Bombyx mori: one gene and its partner. The protein of the gene in region 1 interacts with the protein of each later gene in a pairwise test. Links are inferred from orthologs where the notes say so. Each region holds a gene or a part of one and is shown in the gene's direction. Other genes may lie near its edges. The genes, in order: exocyst complex component 8 and WASH complex subunit 1.

Evidence for each region.
Region 2: the proteins of exocyst complex component 8 (region 1) and WASH complex subunit 1 interact in binary tests that used the Homo sapiens proteins (3 or more experiments, as listed by UniProt). The link is inferred for Bombyx mori from reciprocal best matches to the Homo sapiens genes EXOC8 and WASHC1.

The regions. Positions count from the first base shown.
Region 1 is NC_085122.1:6,420,068-6,424,000, reverse strand, and holds the start of exocyst complex component 8, read left to right. Parts: upstream 1-1,611; 5' UTR 1,612-1,870; coding exon 1,871-3,916; 3' UTR 3,917-3,933. UniProt on the Homo sapiens protein: Component of the exocyst complex involved in the docking of exocytic vesicles with fusion sites on the plasma membrane.
Region 2 is NC_085123.1:3,001,007-3,004,631, reverse strand, and holds part of WASH complex subunit 1, read left to right. Parts: exon of another isoform or gene 1-1,172; intron 1,173-1,250; 5' UTR 1,251-1,287; coding exon 1,288-1,662; intron 1,663-1,744; coding exon 1,745-2,044; intron 2,045-2,127; coding exon 2,128-2,465; intron 2,466-3,625. UniProt on the Homo sapiens protein: Acts as a component of the WASH core complex that functions as a nucleation-promoting factor (NPF) at the surface of endosomes, where it recruits and activates the Arp2/3 complex to induce actin polymerization, playing a key role in the fission of tubules that serve as transport intermediates during endosome sorting.

The DNA.
Region 1 (3,933 bases):
GAGTCCGCGCGGGTGGGTACCACCACCCTGCCTATTTCTGCCGTGAAGAGTTTCGGTTTGAAGGGTGCGGCAGCCGTTGTAACTATACTTGAGACCTTAGAACTTGTATCTCAAGGTGGGTGGCGCATTTACGTTGTGGATGTCTATGGGCTCCAGTAACCACTTAACACCAGGTGGGCTGTGAGCTCGTCCACCCATCTAAGCAATAAAAAAATAAAAAGTAAGAAGTACCTTTGGAATAGCTTCAAGTAAATGACTCGAGGGCCTAATGCATTAGATACGGCGTACTCGCATCGAGTGACATCGTCAAGCAGGTATTGAAATCCCTCAGGATGCCTTTTTTATTATAATTTATTTAAGTTTTATGACCCAGCCCATTACCCTGCCTATTTCTGCTGCAAAGCACTCATCGCAGTAGATTTATGGGTGGCAGAATGTAGGGTTAGCTCGCACGGGTAAGGGCCATTATTAAAATCTATTCCTGCCTCGAAGGTGTCATGTGTTCCAGTTTGAAGGGTGTGACAGCCATTATACAATACAAAGCAGACTTTGATACCTTAAGACTTATGTTTCTCTAGGTTGTTTCAGATTGTGATGTCTTTAACACTACTTAACACCAGGTGGGCCCTTAGCTGAATTTTTGGGTGGGTAGGTGTTACGTCTAGAATAGTCTAGATGTTACTTTTCATAACATCCATTAATAAGTTGGATCCAGTTTTATTACTGGTGGTAGGGCCTCTTGTGAGTCCGCGCGGGTAGGTACCACCACCCTGCCTATTTCTGCCGTGAAGCAGTAATGCGTTTCGGTTTGAAGGGTAGGGCAGCCGTTGTAACTATACTTGAGACCTTAGAACTTATATCTCAAGGTGGGTGGCGCATTTACGTTGTAGATGTCTATGGGCTCCAGTAACCACTTGACACCAGGTGGGCCGTGAGCTCGTCCACCCATCTAAGCAATAAATAAAAAAAAAAAATAAAAAAATTAATAGTATAAAAAATACTAATACATAATTACATAACAATATTTTTTTAAATCCCAAATTGAACGAAGTTAATTTAATTATAAAAAAATATATTAAATACATAAGTGGACCATTTATTTTGACTCTAATTGTACGATGGGCAGATGACCCCAAATCTTTTGTCGAAAGCTCACAACTCGTGCCGATTACTATACAGTATGCGCGCGAGTTCATGTACATCGGGGCCGGAGGCGACGCGCAGGGGGCAGCTCGCCCCGCCTCCCCGCGTTTGTTTGACGTCTAGTGTTGTCTTTGACAGTTGTGACGCGCGCTTATCGATACCAAAAACTTACGCTAACGCTATTGTGTTATTTCATGGTGAATAAACCACGAATACTCCGCTTCCAACAAGTTCAGGTAGAAAAAAACCTACACTGATTCGGACTCTGATCTGTTGGTTGTCTTTTCATCTCATAGTAGTTGAATTGGAATTTAAAAAATATTTTTCTCTATTAGGAAGAAATAAGTCATTACTTATCGCATTTATTTTATAATTTGCGAAGTGACCTGGTTACATTAAACCAAATTGACAGCTGTTGACTAAATCGGTAGTTATTATCGACATTACCATAATTAACTAGGTCACAGCACTACCGCATTCCTCAGGATGGACAAGCTCGCGCGTCTACTGTACATAAAATTTGAGAAAACGTTTTGATAGCAACGTTGGCAGCGCGTTGCCAACAAACTGACTTTAAAAGAAGCTGAGATAACAAAACGCATTTTTGACATATCGTTTTGATAGAAAACGTCCTGTCGTTCGATACCTACCTATAGAATCGAATGATGTGCGAGCCAGTGTTTTGTGATAAATACGAAAGAAGTATACAATAAATACATGTGCAACGATGTCCGAGATAGATATGGATAAGTTTGCTGTCCCAGACTTCGTCCCCGAACGTTACGTAAAAGACCTCGCTAGATCCTGCGTCGGAGGGGAGGAGCTACAGCAACAGAAGGAGAAAATACAAAATTTAGCCGAAGAAACCGCAAGTGCCCTAAAGAAAAATGTCTACGAGAATTATATGCAGTTTATCGAGACTGCGACGGAGATATCCCACCTCGAAACAGAAATGTACAAGCTATCGCATTTGTTAAGCGAACAGCGTTCTGTGCTGACTGTGCTCTCCCACGCCTCAATCCTCGGTAACGAGAACGGTTTATCACGCGAGTCTCTTGATAATCACGACGTCGAGGCTGAGAGGGCAGAAGAGGAACGAAAAAATAAATTAAATCTCATTACAGAAAAGGTAGAATCATGCATGAATCTGTTAGATGTCCCAGACCGAACTCTGCTTCATGAAGGTGACTTGCTAGAAATAGATGCAGAAGAAAATACTGCATTACAAAGAATGCATGTATATTTATTTAATGACTGCCTTATGTTAACATCCTGGATTTCTAACAGACGTGGTCCAATGAGATATAAGTTTCAAGTGAGTTACCCAATAAAGAATTTAGCAGTGGTGAATGTAAGAGATTTAGGAACTGTGAAACAAGCATTTAAAGTGTTAGCCTTCCCAGACACCAGAGTATTTCAATGCAATAGTTTTGCGATAAAAAAAGATTGGCTAGACAAATTTGAGATAGCAAAAAAACTGTATATTGAAAAAGAAAATTCTAAACAGAAGAAAAAAGATAGTCAAGAAAAATCAAAATCTGAATCTATTGAATCACCGAGTCTGTCTGTGGAAGAGATGCCATCACCCCAAATTACACCATTGCCTGAGTGGTTGGCTGATGTTACTGAAGAGCTTGATGTTTTGATTGTGGAGAGACATTTTCAAAAGACCTATGAGTTGATGGTTTCAGCTCAAAAAGCTTTAAATACTGAAGATTTTAAAAACCATCCACAAAGGGTTGATATATTGAAAAAAATAGAACAGAAGCAAAAGAGTTTAATTGAAATATTATTGAAAGATTTAGATGTAACACATAATTGGAGTTTGCGAGGAGGTCTCCAATCAACTAGACAACCGGTACTGATACTCAATAAGTTTAATATGACCAGTCAGGCTTGTGACTTGTTTTTGACGATATGCAGTTACACAGTCAAAGTTCATGTGAAAAGGGTGCAACTGGAAGGGTCAATTAACACTTATGTCAAACAAGTGGGTGAAGTGTTTTTTTGCTCATTGAGTGATGCCTTAACAGAGTTTATTTCACTATTTCCTAAAAATAAAATAAGTGCTTTTATAGTCTGGGCTAGTCTGCAACTTAGGATATTGATGAGTCAGATTATAAAACAAGTGTTCACACCTCAGTGTGCATTAGATTCCGTTCAGGATTGTGTTGAGAGTCTAAGGGAACAATGTACATTGTTTTGTCAATTTGGTTTAGATTTAAGATTCCAGTTGAACAGTTGTTTGAGAACACCAATAATAAAAGCTTTGAGAGAATATAAAGAGAAGACTGTTGACTCTATGAAAAATAAAATCACTGAAGACAAATGGACTCCAGTGAATATGCACACCAAAGCAGGTGTCAATAAATTCCTGAAACAAATGGAAACTTTGGGCCTTATATTAGCTAAGTATGTAATTAATGAAACATGGGTAGATTTATCAAGTAGTACCATATGGTTTACAAAGTCTATTGTCACTATACAGAAAATAGGTCTCCAGTTAGTGAACAAAGATATGATGGATAACCTTGATGAATACATTTATACAATATTCAATTCATGGCTTGTCCTCGCATCAGTCAACGATATTAGTTATGCAAAGAAGAATTTCAAATTCATTTTAGAAACAGTGATGCCTTTAATGCTTAGATGTTATAAAGAAGAAGTTGGCTATGATAATGAGAAATTAGTAGCTTTGGCAAAGAACTATGGTGTCAGTATTACACCATCCAAAAACATCACAAAATACACAAGTAATGAATATTTATGAGAATAGTCAATAGTCTA
Region 2 (3,625 bases), on another chromosome or scaffold:
ATATGCTATTGGTGGTTGGAATCCTACAAACAAGGATGAGAAACCATCTTCAGACGAAATGTTGCTATTACCAAATAGTAGAACCACTGTATCTTCAGAATTGAAACAGAAAGAAAACAATAACAGTGCTTCTAGTGATCACACTGATAGTACAGCTTTATCAGATACATCACATGGGCCTGTAGAAAGACAAATCTCCTCATCTGATGATGGATCTAATTCATCACTACATCTTGAAGTAGAACCTACGAGAACAGCTGACAGTAACATCGATGGCGAATCATGCAATTCCGAAACTGAAACATCACAAATACCGTCACCATTCTTTAATGATAATACTTTCAAGAAAAATCCATGTGGCTATGTGCAACAATCTGTAGTGAGTCCTAATACAGGATATGTTCAAAGTGTTCAAGCAGGCGTTACAAACCCACCACAACCCTCATCACTCAGTGCCAGCTCTAGTTATGTAATGGCAGCTCTGTCTCCACCTATATTTACGACACGTGTTGCTCAACCTTGCGTAACGAGTTCACAATCAGCAGGAGGCTATGTGCACCCTGAAGGTGCTCAAACTATATCAGCAATGAATTTCCCGAAATTGGGGCAGACAACGAACAAACTGTTTGGTCCTGAAAGCTTGCCAACAATGCAAACCTTGCCACCAGCGAAACACACTGCAGACAGCAGCTACATTCAACTGCAATCTCTAGATTCCTTGCCCAGACACAAACATCCTGCCCGAAGTACAGTGCCATTAAAGACGCCAGCGTCTACCGGCTACGTCCGCCAAGGTGACGCTGTTATTAATAAGCACCTGAATAATATGCTATCAGGTGTTCATTGTGGCGAAGAATCGGCTATTTTGGATCCTGCAATGTCGCCTGACGCGTACTGCAGATTTTCATGGAGTACCGATCCAGCCAATGACAACATTCATTCGTTACTCGCCGATTCGCCTAGATTAAATTCATCGAAAAACGGAGTCAATCATTAGTGATATATATATATATTTAATTTAGTAACCAAGATGTAAATAATTGACTTTAGGAGCTTTATAACGTGCTATAAAAATTGGACATAATATTATTTTACATTTGGGAATGAATGTGTCTAGTGATAATTCTTGTGCCTTATTAATTTATTTTAGGTGATCATAGGAAGCTTTATAGGTAAGAGTCATATGTTTAAAAACAGGAGAATTTAAAGCGGTTTTAACAGAATCTTATGGACTAATTGGTTTGTTACAGATCTTGATATAAAGTATTCGCTAAACAAAGATTAATTATGGAAGGTATTTACAAAATTAATCTTGTGCCAAGCGACTTGAGCACTGAAGAAGCCATCCTTCAGATTGCTGACACTATTGATAATCTCAATGGGATAGTGGAAGACGTGTTCTCTCGCTTAACGCGGCGAATCAAGCAGAATGTAGATAAAACCGCAAAATTGAATGAACGCATCGAAAACTCTAGGCTTAAAGTTGAAAAACTGACTGGAATGCAGAGAGCCATCAAAGTGTTCTCGAGTGCAAAGTACCCGTCGTCAATAACGCACGAGCATTATCGATCCGTCTTTGATTTGGAAGGCTATCAACATGTGCCTAAAAATGTTAAACTGAGTGCTAAAACTCGGGGGCCATCTGATGATAAAAGAATACAGGTAAGAACGCTTGTCTTTGTCGAAATAATGTTCGTTCAAAATTTCGAGTCATAATTGTTATTGTCATTAATTGATCTCGTAGGAGAAGCTACACTTCTATCATGTTAAAGTTGCGGAACCTAATTCACTCAAGCCCGATGAAGATTTTAGTTTGAACGCTGTTATTGATAACCTGGAAACCATCGGTGAACTTTTAGTATTTAACACCGATGAAAGCCCTTACTTCGGTGTTACCTCTAAAACACCAACCTACAAACCGGTCATCAAGAAATCGAATATTGAAAATAAGAGTCTAATAGAAGCGGCACCTTCGTCTATAATGAAGAAAGACGTCTTGAAGCGCGAAGTAGACGAATACATGTACGCACCTGGGATGGGAATGGTAAGTGAAAGTAGCAAATGTTATTCGGTTGATGGATGCTATGACAAATCGGAGCGTTTTATAACACTATAAAAATTAAACAGGTACCCGAAATGGAGATGCCGTTGGATTTACCGCATCTTCCAGGAATCGCTGAGGACATACAATATACTATCGCGACTGAAGGGTCTATAGCCCCGTCTGTCGTGACGTCACCGGTCACGCCGATCATCGCCATTCCTGAGGTGGAATTACCAGAGTTGCCCGATCTAAAGGAACTACCTGACGTGAAACCAGAGCCCGTGGCTATACCAGATATACCGGACGCTCCTCCGTCACCGGTTCCTGTTAGTGTGCAAGCGTTGCCACCACCGCCGCCCCCGCCACCGCCTCCGCCCCCGCCGCCGCCTATGAAGGAAGTAGAGCTCACACCATCAAAACGGTAAGATTTCTCATATTTGATTAATTTAATCTAGGACAAAAGAACACTTTTGCATACAAATTTCGAGTATTGATGAGGATAATCGTGTACATACTTACCAAACTTATTTTATTTGTTGCGCAACTTTAGGAAATGTTCGACCTCTTTCAAAGTTTTTGCATGATATTGCGGCCCTTCATAAAACTAAAAGCGGGGGCTACAGGACTCTCAGGTTGAGAAACAGTGTACAAGACAATTCTAAAGCAATAAAAACCGTGGAAGCGCAACGTTTTTTGCGTTATTTTACCGTTGATGCTAACAAACCGTGTTGTATTTTAACCTTTGACGGGCCACCGTAATTGTATTAATTACTTACATACACGCGCCATACAACGGATCGATCCATTGAAACTGTGTACACAGTAAACACGACAAAAACATTAAGATTAATTTGAATGTCCATATATTTATCTCTCTCTCTCCTTGACCTTTCGGTCATTTGTGTGAAATCTGATTGGTTATATCATTAATAACAATATTTCTAAAAACTACAAAATTTGACCATGTGTATTATTATAAATCCTGTGATTATTTTTATATAACTAATGAATGCCAATAAAGTTAAACAATCCCAGGTCCAATTTTCCAAGTAAGTAATCGGTTTGCAGTTGGGTTATATTACCTATTTAACGCGGCGGGCTTCGTTGTGTGAGTCTTTTTAAGTCAACCCTACATACGGCCATGAGCTTCTCAAGTTTGCCACTTCTTCTTAGCACTGTGCTCAAAGTCCTTTAGTACCCCAAAGATGGTAGCGTACAAAATAACCTTAGTACGATGAGCCAAGGAATGTTCCGTATTTTTTCTTCAGAATCGTATCTCGAAGGCGCTAATGCAGACCATGTCTGCTTTCTTAATGATCCATGTCTCACCGCCATACAGGAATATTAAGAACTTGAGAGGTTGTACATGCTTAGTACTTGGATCGTGAGATGCATCTTAACTTTGTGTAGCGTGGGAGATAGGGCCAGTATTCGATAGTTTCTCTATATTCTTCATGGTCTTTTGTGTGCGTTTTTGTGTTGGGGATGGGGTGAGGCGGTTGTATGATAGGTACCACTATCCTATCTATTTCTTCCGAAAAGCAATCATGCATTTTCGGGATGCAGAATGTGGTACACGTT